Rhinolophus ferrumequinum: one gene and its partner. The protein of the gene in region 1 binds, or shares a complex with, the protein of each later gene. Links are inferred from orthologs where the notes say so. Each region holds a gene or a part of one and is shown on either strand. Other genes may lie near its edges.

Evidence for each region.
Region 2: EIF3J (region 1) and EIF3F share a complex: the UniProt entries of both Homo sapiens proteins name them as parts of the eukaryotic translation initiation factor 3 (eIF-3) complex. The link is inferred for Rhinolophus ferrumequinum from reciprocal best matches to the Homo sapiens genes EIF3J and EIF3F.

What each region holds. Positions count from the first base shown.
Region 1 is NC_046289.1:61,567,993-61,576,216, forward strand, and holds the start of EIF3J (eukaryotic translation initiation factor 3 subunit J), read right to left. Parts: upstream 3,057-8,224; 5' UTR 2,964-3,056; coding exon 2,915-2,963; intron 2,829-2,914; coding exon 2,722-2,828; intron 1-2,721. UniProt on the Homo sapiens protein: Component of the eukaryotic translation initiation factor 3 (eIF-3) complex, which is required for several steps in the initiation of protein synthesis.
Region 2 is NC_046294.1:43,958,062-43,965,960, reverse strand, and holds the start of EIF3F (eukaryotic translation initiation factor 3 subunit F), read left to right. Parts: upstream 1-4,875; 5' UTR 4,876-4,895; coding exon 4,896-5,283; intron 5,284-7,899. UniProt on the Homo sapiens protein: Component of the eukaryotic translation initiation factor 3 (eIF-3) complex, which is required for several steps in the initiation of protein synthesis.

The DNA of each region.
Region 1 (8,224 bases):
AGAAGCATAGGCTTTACCCCCACGCCATGAATATTAACAATTCTACATTTTTACCTAAATCCACTTCCGCCACTGCCAGCTTTTTGAATAGTCCAGGCAGCAAAATGCTATAATGTCTACTGAAAGATAGTAACTACTGGAGCAAATTACTGTAACAAAGACCTCAATTTTCTTTTCATTTCTTAGGATGCTACAAATGACATTAAATCTATATTCTTTAAAGTTAAACACTAGATACTGACATAAACTGAAGAACTTACTGTTCTACATATCTTTTGAAGAATTTTTAAAAATTCACATATTGCATTAAAGACTATGATTATTCGATCTCATGGAAACTAAGCATTGTGTGCATCTCTTTACCAAAGAATTAGGTACTAAAACATTAGAAATAAGAAATTCGGTATTACTACTGTCCAAGGTGACAAAAATTTAACTCTAGATTGGTAACCTCTGAGCAATCAAAAACTTGCTAGATAAACATGGCCATTCTATTCAGAACACAAACTTCACAGTAAACAGCTACCGTGGAGAGAACTTACTTACTCCTTCTGAGCTTAGGAAACCACAAAATATGGCACAAAATAAACCCCACATACTAAATCTAAACACCTAAGCATACTTTCCATTAGCCAGAAAAATTAAGACATCTTGAAGTAAAAGAGAATTAACATTTGAGTGGCTACCAAGTCCCAGGCAACTCTGCTTAATGCTCCACATAATAAAATGTAAATTATCCCTGAGATAGCTCCTATAATGATGGCATTTACAGACTGGGGAACTAGAACAGAAAGATTAGAAAACTTGTTTATGACCACAAATATAGAAAATGTCGAGCCAACAATATAAAGCCAAGTCTGTCTGATTCCAGAGCCCAAGAATCAAACTACTACATGGATACCATATCTTGGGAATTTTGGAGAAACTCAACAGAAATAAATCAAAATTTCAACTCAGAAATAAAATGAACAAGTTTAGCTTTCTTCTCCAAGATCAACTTCAAAGTTTATGTAAAAGCAGCTATTTGTATAAAAGAAATTGTGCCTGAAAGAGTGACTGGACAAGACGAACTTCATGGTCCCTTACAACTTGTAAATCACCAAAATTAGTTCCAAATGGTCAGAATTATTATCTATCAGGATTGACACAATTTAGGTTCAATAATCTCAGACAGTCTACTTTATAATATCAGTGCAGACAACTCCATTCAAACTTCATTTTCTGGCACTTCCCGCCCCCATCCATCCATTTCTCTAATCTTTTCTTTTCATTTGTTAACTTATTCCCAGTTTTCATAATGGATGTCTTAACTGCCGCATCCAGTATGCATAGAAAAAGCGAAAGGACAACTCTGAACTAAAGACTCAACACAAAATCCCCTACAATGTAGAGGTAACTAGTATCTTGCAATGACGCTGTTAACACAATCCATTCCCAAGTCTACACTACATCTGAATAGAAGTAGCTTCACAATAGTCCTACTCATTTATTAACCCAGTGTGTGCAAAGCTCCCATCATTCCTGAACCTCAGGCTGTTCGATAAATTGGACATTCACCTCAGCAGACACAGGAAAAAAGGGTAAAATCCAAACAAAAGCAGTATTATTAACAGTGATTATCTAGCTTAAACTTTTTCAAACCAAGCAGAAGGACTTGTAGGGTTCTGAGTATATGCTGAAAGGTAGAAGAAAGTAAAATATTCACTAAATGAATCAAAACCACAAAATACCATTTTCTAATTCATACAAAACTTTTATCTGTACAAAATGAAACGATTTTGAGAATTCTGTTAATAAGAGTCTTAACATTCTGAGCTTGAGACTTTTGAAACTATTAAAAAATGCAGCAGTCATAATCTCATCTGAAGCCATATGATCAGCCCCGCAGGAATTTTCAAAAACAATCTACAAGGCATAGAAAAACAAACAAAAAAAACCTGGTCCCCTCTCTACTCTTACCACCTTGCTATCTCCTTAGGCGTCATTCGTGTGTAAATTAATAAGTCACTCTGTCAACTCTGCATTTTTCAGGGTTGCTGTGTGGACTACCCAGGTTTCTGACCAATAACTTCTGGCTATTCAGTACTCAGTTCATCCTTTTACCAGTGTATCGGGAAGGAGGCTAAAAGTTATTTCACTTTACTGCTTCTATTTCTCGTGCGGAAAAAGGTTAAAATTAAGCCATAATATTTCACTCATCTACTTGTTCAAACTGTACAAACGGGCCTTCGGAGACATAAATGAATTTTCAGCCCTGGGGAGACCTCAGCTCAAAAAGGCCGGTGGGTTGTAAGATTTTTCCATATGGCAGCCATGGAGGCTCAATACCCAACTTCCCGGTCTCACCTCGGCGAGCAGTCCCCAGACTGCGAAGTTTGCACGTGGGCTGGCCCAGCCGCTGCTGTCACCTTCCCGTCGCCAGTTGGCGGGTGGGATCCAGGCCGGGGCGTCGACCTTTTTTAAAGAAACGCCGGGGCCACCGCTGCCGCCCTCGCCAAGGAAATCCGGAAGGCCACACTACCCGTCTCCGGCCCATATGGCCCGCGAGCGGAGGGGAAGCAGGACACCGCTGGGCTCGAAGCTCGTGCCTGGACTCACGGCCCGCAGGCCCGGGCGGCGCCCCTGGGCCCAGAGTCCACCCGCCCGCCTTTCGGCGACCAACCCCGCCCCAGACGGCGTCAGCCCGCTCCGGCGCTGCTCGGAACCCCAGCCTGCACCCACCTTGACGTCCTCGTCCTCGTCCTCGCCTTCCCAGCGGTCTCCGCCGGGGGTGCCCCCGCCGGCCCCCACCTTTCGCACCGGGTCTTCCACGGCGAACGTGTCCGCGTCTACGGAAGAGAGTGAGCCACGTTAGTGCCTGCCTCGGCGTGCGGCCAGCGCCGGCCCGGGCTCTTCCCCCGGAACTTCTCCTCACCCCAGGAGTCGGAGTCCCCCGCCGCTGCCGCTGCTGCTGCCGCCGCCATCTCGAGCCGGGTGTGAGCGTGTGTGAGCGGAGAGCCAGCGAGGACTTAGCGCGGCGGCGGTGAGTCACTGGATTTGCTCTCGTTGGCCGCGCGGGGCAGGCTGGGACCGTGGCTGACTCTACGCCGGAGCCCAGGCCCCGCCCCTCTGGCGGCGGCGCCGGCGGCGGCGGTGACGCGCGCGCGGGCGGGAATGGGGCGTGGGACGTGGCCTTTGGAGCCGGGGTCGCGTGGGAGGGCGTGGCCCAGCGTCCAGTGCCCGCGACGCCGGACAGTCCTGTAGACTACTGGGGCGGAGAGAGACGAAGCGGCCAGCAGATGGCCACGCCACTCTGAGCCCCGGTAAGGAAACGTAAGTGTGGGGAAGTTACGACGGTCCCTTGCCTAGGTGCTTGGCCCTGGCCTGTCCTCGCCACACCTCCTGCCTACCACTGCCACGCCCCAACCGATCCGTCACTTTGATCGCCGCCGGTGGCTGCTGACGGATGTCAAGGAGACTTCCAGCCTTTCCACGCCACGCTCGGAATCAGGCTCCGAAAGCCATGCGCGCCTGTAGGGGAGGTGGACGCGCCTCGCCGACTCCCGGAGGGTGCAGTCGTGCTCAGGGGGAGGGGACATCCCTCTGGAAGCTGGCGTTTGTGGTGCTCCCGAGACGGGCGAGTGGAGAAGGCGGCTTTCCTGGCAACCTTCCCAGGCTGGGTGCTCAGATTCAGCTCTCTGCACGTTTGCCTCGAGGTAGTCACGAAGGAATCGAAGAGAGCCCCAGTGCTCGAGGATTTTCCCTGTGAGCCTCTTCAGGCCAGTACATGATTCATTCTTTCGCAGAACAACTTCGGAACTCGGTTTGCGCTAGGCATAAACTCTAGTCTTGTCCCCATGGAATGCACCATCAAGCAGCCAAGGTAGACGTGTAAATAAACTTCGACACAGTGTGATGACTGCAACAAAAGGAAGCATTGTGAGGTTAAATGTAAAAATGTAACTTTAACGGCGGGGCGGGGGGAGGGGAGCGGGAGGATGCGTGAAAGGCTTCCCGAGGTAAACGCTGCGAAAACGAGTTTGAAAGACCAAGTGAAATTGCTCCAGAGCATTTCCCGCAAAGAACGGAAGTGGTCCCTGACCTGAGTGGCGAAATTGAAGATAAACTGAACAGGTAAACTGATTATAATAAAGGGCTGCAGATAGGTTAAGCTGCATTCTGCCATGTGGGTCAGTGGGCTACACTGCAAGGTTTTTGAGATGAATAGTTTGATATTTTTAGTTGTTTTCTTAATTTGTTTTCAAATATGTAATACACTTAACTTGGTACGACATTGTTTATAAAAGGGTTTATACAATGATCAGCCATTCTATTTCTACTGGTAACCATTTTCCCCATTTCTTCATCTCTTTCAGAGAGTCTACAAATACACATTTTTATAAAGATGGTCTTTTAAGAGACATTCTACAGCTCAGTTACTCAAAGTTTGTTCCCAATCCAGCAGCAACACCTGGGGAGCTTGTTAGAAATGCAGACTCTCAGGACCCATCCCAGACCTAATGAATCAGAATCTGCCTTCTAACAAGATCCTCAGATGATTCTGCATATTAAAGTGTGAGAGGCAGTGATACACAGACATCCATTTGTAAAGATGAATTGGAAGGAGGCAAGACAGAAGGCAGGGAAACCCTGAAACGTAAGAAATGTAAGGTCCCTAGAGCACAATCTTTTATTCAGTGTTATCTCCAGCATTTGACAGTGTCTAATATATAAATTAATATTTTTTTAATTAAATGAGAAGAACACAAGCCTCAAATCAGGCAATGGTAACAGAGAGGAAGGAACCAATTGAGAAATATTTAAGGGTCAAAATCAACAGAATTTAGTGACTGATGGTTAATTTTGTATCAACTTAGGTAGGCCATGGTACTGCTTTTGGTCACACATTAGTTTTTGCTGTATTATATATATTTGTCGTATGTTATTTTATATATATATATATATACATATATATATATATATTTTTTTTTTTTTAAGATTCTATTGGGGAAGGGGAACAGGACTTTATTGGGGAACAGTGTGTACTTCCAGGACTTTTTTCCAAGTCAAGTTGTTGTCCTTTCAGTCTTAGTTGTGGAGGGCGCAGCTCAGCTCCAGGTCCAGTTGCCTGTTAGTTACAGGGGGCGCAGCCCACCAACCCTTGCAGGAGTCCAACCGGCAACCTTGTGGTTGAGAGGATGCGCTCCAACCAAGCCATCCAGGAGCTCAGTGACAGCTCAGCTCAAGGTGCCATGTTCAATCTTAGTTGCAGGGGGCAGAGCCCACCATCCCTTGCGGGATTCAAGGAGTTGAACCGGCAACCTTGTGGTTGAGAGCCCACTGGCCCATGTGGGAATCAAACTGGCAGCCTTCGGAGTTAGGAGCACGGAGCTCCAACCGCATGAGCCACCGGGCCGGCCCCTGTCATATGTTATTAACATTTAAATCAGTAGATTTTGAAAGCAAAGCAGATTACCCTCCATTATGTGGATGGGTCTCATCCCATCAACCTTAAGAACACTGAGGAAAAAGGAATTCTGGCTGTAGACTGCCCTTGGGCTCTGCAACATCAGCTCTTCCCTGTGCCTGTCATCACAGTCACCCCCAGCATGCCGGCCTGCCCTGCAGAATTTTGGACTAGCCAGCTCCCACCATCTGGTGAGCCATTCCTTAAAATAAATCTCTAAATATACACACATCCCAATGATCCTGTTTCTCTGGATAACCCTGACTAAACAGTGACTGATTGGATATGGAATGGGTGGGGAAAAAGAGATTGGGTGGTAGTGACACCTATCTATAGGTGCTCTTATCAAAAACCTGGGAGTTAGGGCCGGTTCGGTGGCTCAAGCGGTTAGAGCTCTGTGCTCCTAACTCCGAAGGCTGCAGGTTCGATTCCCACATGGGCCAGTGGGCTCTCAACCACAAGGTTGCCAGTTCAGTTCCTCGAGTCCCGCAAGGGATGGTGGCCTCCACCCCCTGCAACTAAGATTGAACACGGCACCTTGAGCTGAGCTGCGCCTTGAGCTGAGCTGCGCCCTCCGCAATTAAAACTGAAAGGACAACAACTTGAAGCTGAATGGCACCCTCCACAACTAAGATTGAAAGGACAACTTGACTTGGAAAAAAAAAGTCCTGGCAGTACACACTGTTCCCCAATAAAGTCCTGTTCCCTTCCCCAATAAAAATCTTTACAAAAAAACCTGGGAGTTATCCTTGCTTTCTTCCTCTCGCTCACCTCCTAAATTCAATCCATCACCAAACCCTGTGATTTACTTTCAATATTAATCTTGAATCCTTTTAATTACCTCCATATTGGTACCACCTTAATCCAAGCTTTCTCTAGACTCTTCCACTATAATAACCTCCCAATTGGTTTTCTTCCACTCTTCCCCCTCCGCAGTCCATTCACTCACTACACACCAGGCAATTTGCTTATTTAACAATGTAAACCAAATTGTAACACCCCTTCCTCCCAGTTGAAATCCCTTTAGTGGCTTATCATTTTTACAGTAAAATTCAGCTGCTTACTGTGGCCTATAAAGCCCTGCATAGTCTAACTCCTACTTCCATCCAGCCCCCTTATGCCATTCTCTCTCATTAACTTCATTGCTACTGGCTCTCTAAGGCTACTAAGCTTTTTCCTATTTTTGGACTTTCTGCCTACAGTGCTCTTTCCACACCTCTTTGCATGATTGGCTTTTCTTCCTCCTTCAAATCAAAGTTCATATGTGATCTTTGCAGGAAGGTCTTCCCTGATCTCCCTCTTGCAAGGGACCTTTCCCAGTTACTCTATCTCATCCCTGTTTTGTCATAGCATTTATCACAGTCTCTAATGACTTTGACGACTTATTTAAGTCTGTTTGGAGCGCAGGCACCTACCTTGTCTGTTACTTAATACTGTAGTTCCAGTGCTTGGCATGTGGCAAATGCTCAATAAATGTTTTTGAAAATGGCTGTATAATGCCTGTCATCACAATCAGGAATAAAGTTTTGGCTCATAGATCTTGACATTCCTGAGGGACATGCCTAGTACACGTTTGGAACTGGAGAAGCCGAGGCTACAGATAATTAGGAGTACCTGATTATGGCAGTGGATGGAATCACGTGAAAGAGGCCGTCTGCAGATAGGATAGAATGAGAAGAAACCTTGAAGGACATCAACATTTAAGGAGCAACCAGAGGAGAAAAGTATAGAAAGAATAGTAAGATTTTAAAAAAGAAATTTGTACCACGTTTTTTTGGTAAAAAATACAAATAAATTTTAAAATACTGTGGAACATGGTATATTTGAAAATTCCCTGTTGGAAGTCAGGAGACCTGGGTTCTAGACATAAAAATGATCTAATTATATTGAACTGAACACTGGACACTTCTGGTGAGGGGTGGGGAAAGCTCACAATTCCTCCTTGTCTGGAAATTGTCCTAGAACACAAGTGTAGGTGGGCCCCCAAAGCCACATTTGCTCCTTTACCACTGCTGATTTGGGAAGGGGGGTCAGAGGCAGATTAACTGAAGTTAATGAAGCTCTAGCTTCAGGGCCTCTCATTGCATGGGCTCCTCCATTTTTAAAGAAAGCCCTCCAAATTGTGTAATATATGCATGCATCAAACAATATGAAATCTGGTTCTGCCCTTAGGTGGGGTATAAGTAACCCAGTGGAATCCTCAAATTCTCTGGTAGCTAGTCTCTAAAGATGGTCCTTCAATGAAGAGTTATTCAGGCCCTTATGTGGTCTCCTTCCCTTGAGTCCTGGACTAGCCCTATGATTCATTTTTGACCAGTAGAATAGGGCAGAAGTGACACCCAGTGTTACCTATCACGAGCCTTGCAGCTTCCACCTATGCTTTTTGGAATGCTCACTCTGGTGGAAGTCAGCTGCCATTTCTGAAGTCTTTACTAGCCTGTGACCATCATGTGCTGTTTCATGCTAACCACATGGAGAGGCTGTTTAGAAAAAGAAATACTCAGCCAACTCTGGCTGTTTCAGATATCCCTGCAGAGAGACTCCAGACATGGGAGTGAAGAAGCCATCTTGGACATCCAGCCTAGTTGAGCCTTCAGATGATTCCATCCCCAACTACCATTTCAACGTCACCAAGGAAGACCCCAAGCAAGAGTTGACCAGTCAAACCACAGATCTGTGAGAGATAAGATATCTTAAGCCTCTTAAGTTTTGAGGCAAATTGTTAATGCAATGATAATAGATTCTTTCCCAGGGCTTTAGAAGCTGGAACGAGACTCT
Region 2 (7,899 bases), on another chromosome or scaffold:
GTCAACAGATAATGCCTACAATGGATGAATCAAAAGGTAGCAGCATACATGCATTTAAAAGTGCAGAGATGTAAGAAGAAACAGTTTAAAATCTAAGGTAGCTACTTGGGGATAGTGGGGGAAGGGGGTGGACCAGAAAACTACTGTATTTGGAGCATAAGCTTTTTAATGCTAATTGGCTTTTTAAACTATGAGCATGTGTCACTTGATAAAATAAAAATTAACAATGAAAGGATAGAAGGTAAAGAAATGGAGTTAACACATATTGATGCAAAAAGAAAAAAAACACATGTATAGACAAATATTTCAAGAAGTTTGGCAACAAAAGGAATTGGTGATTTTGAGGTGATGAGGAATTAAGTCACGGTTTTGTTTGTTTTTCACATGGGAGAGGGTGGCAAATGCTGACCAAAAATATGAAAAATCCAACAGAAAGGTCAAGTTAGAAACGCTAGTGGGAGAGAGAAGTACTAGAGGAGACGATTGAGAGTGTGGATTGGGATAGAGTTCAAAGCCTTTGGCAGGAGGATGGAGGGAACATCCTCCATTCATGCCCGAGGAAAGTGAGAGACATTGTTTGGCAGAGCAAGGTCGATGTATTGGGTTTGTGGTCAGAAGATGGGGACAATCGTGTCTGGCGGTCCCTATATTCTGCACAAAGGATGAGAAAGAGCATCCCTTAAGGGTGGAGGACTGGCTTAGGCAGGCTGTGAGGTGGCTGTCTCCCAGGTACCTCTCCTCCCACTCCAGGGCTCCAGTGCCCGTTGCTCAGCAGGTTCTCCCAGAGTCCAGGAAAACAGGCAGGAATGGGATTGGTCTGTCCCAGAGCCTTAACCAAACTATGGCTAGAGACAGAAGCAAGACAGCAAAGAACCAAGCCCAAGGGACCAAGATGGGAAAATGGAGTGAGACACAGCCACATAGACCATGTGACAGAAGAAACGAGTAAAGCCACTTACTGTGAAGACTCTCAGGTCTGCCTCCCCTAGAAGCCTCCCAGTCTGGAGATCGCAGGGCCAGGGACTGAGAGTCACACCTAAAGGAAGTAGAAATGATATGCAAAATAACCAATTTTAATTGGAGGCTAGAGGCAGGAAATGAAATGAAGCCTCCCTCCCTGTTAACCCTGGTCTGGCTGTGGGCAGAACTGACAACTGGTATAACAGTCCCAAAAAGGGAAGAGGTGGAGACAAAAGAAACAGAGACCAAGGATGGAAACTGTCAGCTAAGATATACAAAGAGGCACAAGAGAGAAATGAGCGGACAAAACAGTCAGAGAGAGAAACAGACAGACAGATGAAGCTAGCTGATGGGTATGGGTCTCTCTCTCTGTGTCTCTCTCTCTCTCTCTCTCTCTCTCTCTCTCTCTCTCTCTCTCTCACACACACACACACACACACACACACACACACACACCTCAAACACACACACACATTTATGCACTCCATAAATAGGGTTCTGCCTGCCTGGATCCCTCAGCATCCTGGATGTACGAGTATGCATTCCCTTGTCCTGGCCAATCAGCATCCCCAGGAAGACAATGCCAATGATCACCCTCCTTCTGCCCCTGAGCTATGTGGCTGGAGGAAAATACAAAAGCTGACCAGATCCTTGAGGTCTCCAGGCTCAGCTGGGCCCTCCCATAATTGTTCAATGCCTTTGATGGCTCACTCTCGGCCCTTCTTCCAAATACTGCCCTTTGCTCCAAGGCTGAACCCGATCTATCTATCCATTGCCATTCTCAGCAGATCACTTTGCCTCCGCTTCCCTGAGAAAAAATAAACATCATTTGACAAGAGCTCCTGCAACTCCCTTCTCTTTCCAATTCAAAGTGTCTCCGATTCTTCATCCATCGTTTTTTTCCTTTCCTACCAGAGAGAAAGGTCTTTAGACCATCGATACAAAGGCAAAGTTCAGGGTGGTGAAGAGTCCACACCCAACTCAAATCAACATACGAATGGGAAGTACCAAGGTTGTGCGTGGTCAGGTCGAGACAGCAACACCTCTTCATTGGGGATGGTGCTCTCCTCTGAATTTCTCCCCATGGAATGATCTCGGCACCACCCTGGGCTACGGCAGACCCCCATATGGCACCCATAAAGGAGGCCATATCCCGGAGTCTCTCTCCAACATATCCCTCGTCCTGCCCAAGACCATTTCTCTCATCTAGGCTTCTCCATTTGGGTCCCACTTCCTGCTTTGTTTCATTAGATAGCTTCCCTTGCTCACACTTGTATATTCAATCTTTCTCCCTTCTTGAGATTCTTACTCTTCGTTTAAAATATACTTAAAACTCTTCCAGCCTAAACTGTCCCCCTTTCCACAGCTACTGCCTTAAATGTCTCTTTTCCTTCCCAGCAACTTCCTTGAGAGAGTAGCCAGCACTTACTGCCATCAATTCAAATTGACCATTCTCTCACACCTGAATTCCAGTTTCCAAGCGCACCCCACCTTCAGTTTCACTGACAGTGCTCTACTAGGGTTGCTAAAAATCGAGGTCATCAAATCCAAGAGTCATTTTTCAATCCTCCTCTGATAAGCTGTTCACCTGTGTTTGAGGGAACTAAGAATATGTATGTTTACCCAGAGCACTGACGGGAGTAGGATTACGTGAATTTTAATTATAGAAGGTAGCTCCAAGGAGAAAGCAGTTCTTGGGCATAAGAGTTGGGGCTAAGAAGCCCAAAATCCCCCATCCACCTTGACAGCTGGACGCTGGGACTTAACCTAATTAAGGGAGTTGATAGGTTTCCTGACAGGCAGCTATTATCAACCCCGTTAGACCAAACAGGAAACGGAGACTCAGAAAAAATTATAGATTGCCCAGAGTTACACTGTAAGTTAGGATCAGAGTTCCTTCCATCACATAGCAACAATAATAGCTACCAAATAATAATAATAATAATAATAATAATAATAATAATAATAATAATAATACATCTCAATGGTGATACATCCAAAAATGAACTTGGCATAGAGGAAAAACTGAGGGTTGCTAGATGGGAGGGAAGGTAGGGATAAAGCGGAAGGTGAGGGGATTAGAGAGCACAGTCGGTAACCACAAGATGGCCACAGGGATACGAAAGTCAATTTGGGGAATGTAATCAATAATGTAAAGATTTTGTAGGGTATCTGATGGATACTTGTCTCGTTACACCTCAGGGATGATATAGATGCCTGATCACTGCACTATACACCTGAAGCGGAACAATAATGTCAACTACAATTTTATATATGTGTGTGTGTGTGTGTGTGTGTGTGTGTGTGTGTGTGTGTGTGTGTGTATACATATATATAGTTACAAGAAGTGGAGTACCGCATTAGGAATAGAGACAGTGGAAATGTAATGGCTGTGTACGATGTCAGAGGGGTAGTGGGTGGGGCGATAGGGGTTGACACTGTGTGAGGGATATAAATGATAAATGTCTATTACATTGTTTTGTGCACCTGAAACTAATAAAACAAAAGTTTAAGAAAAAAATGAACTTGGGATCTTTTCCCAAAAACTTGCTGCACTTGTAGCTTTCACTGTCTCGATTATTGACAACTTCTTCATACTAGTTGCTCAGCACAAAAAATTGGAGTCATCCTTGACTTTCTCTTTCACACCTCGCATACAATTTCTCAGAAAATCCTGTTGTCTCTACCTTTAAAATATACCTGTAGGGGGTGGCCGATTAGCTCAGTTGGTTGGAGCGGTGTTGGTACTAGCACCAAGGTTGCCGGTTCAATCCCCACATGGGCCACTGTGAGCTGCGCCCTCCTTACAAAAAAAAAAAATATATATATACCTGTAATCTGCCCACTTCTCACCACTTGCACTGCTACTGGTTTGGTGCCAACCACCGTCATCTCTCTTAGATTTGGTAATCTCATACCATGTCCCTCTGCTCTTTCTCGTCTGCCTCTCCCCAGTAACCGAGCCCCCTATTGTATTTTTCTCAAAGCAGCTATAGTGATCCTTTTAAAACTAAGACAAATCATGACCCTCCCCTGCTCAAAACTTGGCAATGGTTCCCCATTTCTTTCAAACTAAAAATGAAAGTCCTTACCCATACTGTGCCCTAGGAGGTCTTTAATGATCTCTAATCCCTGTTTAGGGGTCCATCTCCTGCTGCTCCAGGCCGATCTTAACTCTCCAGCTGCCAAATAGCCTCTTCAAACACAACAGGCCTACTCCTGCCTTCAGGGCTTTGCACTAGCTGTTCCCTCTACCTGGAAGCTCTTTTCCCCTCACACTTCATAATGGCCACCTCATTCGCCTTTTTCAAGTACACTCAAATCTCACACTGTCATTGTGATCCACCCTAATTCCTCACAACTCCTCATTACCCATTACTCTCCGCTACTTTTTCCTTTTTCTTAGAACTTCCTACCTTCTAACATATATAATGTACTTATTTGTCTCTCCCCGCTACAATGTAAACTTTTCAAGGACAACGATTTTTGTTTTGTTTACTAATATATTCCTTTAAAAAGCCTCTGGCACATATTTTATTTAATGAATAAACCACCTTAGGACCCTGTCAAGGACAAAGCCCTTTATAATAAGGCACCGTGACAGCCATTATCCCATTGAAGTCTGAAAACACGATTTGCGACACTTGTGCAGCGTTCTGGCTCCATCTGGCGACAACTATGCAGACGGAGCTGCTTCTCTTCTCCCAGTGCGGTCCCAAGTTTCTTCGGAACTATTTAGCTCGGTCTCACTGAATGCGCGTCGACCTAGATCGAAGAGCACAAACTCGGAGCCGGAAATTGTAGTGCCGTGAGAAGCATCATCAGTAACCAATAGGCACAAAGACCTTGTTCACGTGGTGCATATTCAGCCTATGGTGCTCCTAATGTTTCCAAGCTTACTCTTTTCCGCTCCAGGCTCCTTCTCTCTGGACAAGATGGCCACACCGGCGGTACCGGCGAGTGCTGCTCCCACCACTCCGACCCCAGCCATGGCTGCTGCCCCAGCCTCAGCCCCAGCCCCGGCCCCAGCCTCAGCTCCAGCGCCGGCGCCGGCTCCAGTGCCGGTTCCAGCTCCAACTCCAGCTCCATCCTCATCCCCAGACCCGGCGGCAGCAGCGGCTGCGACCGCGGCCCCGGGCCAGACCCAGGCTTCACTGCCAGCAGCAGCGCAGACCCCGGCGCAGTCGCTGGCTAGTCCTGCTCTACCCGGCCCCTTCCCCGGCGGCCGTGTGGTCCGACTGCACCCTGTCATTTTGGCCTCTATCGTGGACAGCTACGAGCGACGCAACGAGGGTGCTGCCCGAGTTATCGGGACCCTGCTGGGTGAGTAAGTGGTCAGAGAAAATTGACGTTTTCTTCTACCTCCCACCTCTCCTTTATCTGACTCCCCTTTCTTCACATCCGCGTTGATCTCTTACCTGTTTCTCCATTGGACCGTCCTGTTGGGACTCATCTTCCCAAAGAACTTGAACTTTCTTGCCTGATTGCTGTCACTTTGTGCAACATAATGTATATGAAGAGTAGTTCTGTATTAAGTAAATATCGTGTACCGAGCCATTTACATTTTAATCTTCCCAGTAGCATTTCACGTCAAGTATGATCAGCCCCAGTCTACCAAAAGTGAGTTCCAATGCTAAGTAAGGCAAAAACCCTTGACTCCCCAGTGACCACGTTTTTTCCCGCTTATCTACTAAATGTCTTTATTTTCTAGGTGTTTGCAAAGAAGTTTCTAACCAGTTGGCAAAGGGAGCATCTGTTAAGAGATATCCCTCTCAGCAAGTAAACCGATTTGGCAGGAACCCATTTAGAATTTCAGTAATAATCTGATTAACTAAGTGTGTAAGCCTGAACCCCTGTCCCTTCCTCTCCCTAATTCGTAGATGCTGTTCCCCCAGAGCTGTCTCTGATTCTCCATTTGGATACAAACAATTGTATTATGTTTATGATACTGCTTAACCTTCAAATCAAAGAATAACCTTTCCCTACCCATGTCCCAAATTTGGGGAAATAGATATTTTATGTTAAAAGTAATTTGTAAATCCAAGACGCACTAAAGAGGAATTACTGGTAATTTATCCCTTTTTCTGGATTCTGCTGGTCTCATCAAATTCATTTTCACTCCATCTAAGTCACAAATTTTAGACCCCTTTGTGCATCCACTCCAATTGTATGCATCATTTCTCTTTCTTACTCTTGAACATGTAATAGTCCTTCTACCATAGAAAACAATAGGTGTATTACAAAGAGGACACAATTTGAGGCAGATTCCATCAAATATATGCCTTGTGCCTTGGGACAAATAACCTAAAGTCTACTTCCTTCAGGGGCTACTTTAGACTTAGTCTTTGTGAAAACTTACTACAGAAAGCATCTAACTGCTGGCACACATTAGGTATGAAACTGTGGGCACACATTAGGTACGAAACGGCTGTTGGTTGCCAACCTGCACCATGTCAGGCCTATACCACCCCTGAAACACACACACATTCTCTTTTTATTTGAGAAAGTAGCATTTTGCAGAAACTTTAATCAATCCATTATTTTCCGAACATTGCCATGGTTTTTCTCAAGCGTTTGTATTTTCTTTGCCACAAGTGCCTTCCCTGCTCTCACTTGTCCGTTCAAGTTCCACTCATCTTCCAGGAAAAGTGTTCAGTATTGGTCCTACGTCCCATACTCTCACCCTCACCCTCATTCTTAACTTCCCAAAGTATGGTAGCATTCTGTGACTGTCCTGCTTTGAGCTTCTGTAATAAATGATTTTTGCATCACTGACTTGGCACTCGACAAATACTTACTCTCTTTCAGCTACACTGTCAAATTTCCCAAACTCACTGGTGCTATTTAACTAAAGAAACAATTCTCCACCCAAGGTTTGTGCTAAGTGCCCTAAATGGTACAATGACTCTAGTTAGAATAACTGTAATCTAGATCTTCAGATTCTCTTCCAAACAGGGGTCAGGTATGACAGCGGCAGTGCTTACTGAAGAATGAATCATGGATTCTGCTTGCTAGGAACTTACACATTTTCTCAGTTAGACATTAATTCATGAAAAATATTTCATTTGGTTAAATGAAGTCACTGGTGCTTTATGTACTATAAAATCGTTAGGTACTAGAATTCAAAGTTTGATCAAACGAGCTCTAGTCTAACCCTAAATTGAAGCTGAAGATACACTCTTGTATGCAGGTAATTAGAATATAATAGGATAAATGCTCTAATAGAAGGATGTCATAGTGGCATGGAAAATATAGAAGACTTAACTATTTCAGAAGCTTGAAGTGGTCAAGTCTTTCGGATGCTGCTGAGAGGTCAAATAAGATAAAGACTATGTATCCACTGGGTTCGAGGACATAGTTTCAGCAAAGGAGGCAGAAACCATAGTAAGGTGGAACTAGACACTAACGGGTATAGGCACCATTGTGGTCTGTGGTGAGGAGGGAAGCACTTGAAGCCTGGGATGGGAGATGTCAGTACATTAGAGAAAAGTAGAGAAGTCAAGGGACTAGCCGTCTTAGGTCCAGAAACACATGTGGGCAGTGGGAATAAAGTTACCAGAACTAGAATAGAAGTTTGTGGTAAAAGACTCACATCGATGAAGTTTCACAGGTAGAGGGTTCCTGGATGATGATATGGTTATGACCATGGAACCAGATGGCTGACGGGAGGTACAGGTGACGCTCTCTAAACGGTTCTCTGACTAGGCTCCTAGAGGAGTGGTCTATGTAGACATAATTAAAATCTTCCAGGTAGCCCTGCAGACTAAATTACAAGGAGAGAGTGTAGAGGCTGGAAAAATGACGGTCACAGTGTCAAGGTCTGGAGTAGACTGATAGCAGGAAGTAACAGGCGAAAGGAGACCTTGTGAAGGGAGAATAGGCCCCGCGTGATGGTTAAAGGAAGGCATTGGCGGTCACTCCAGGGCTTTAGTTCTCTGG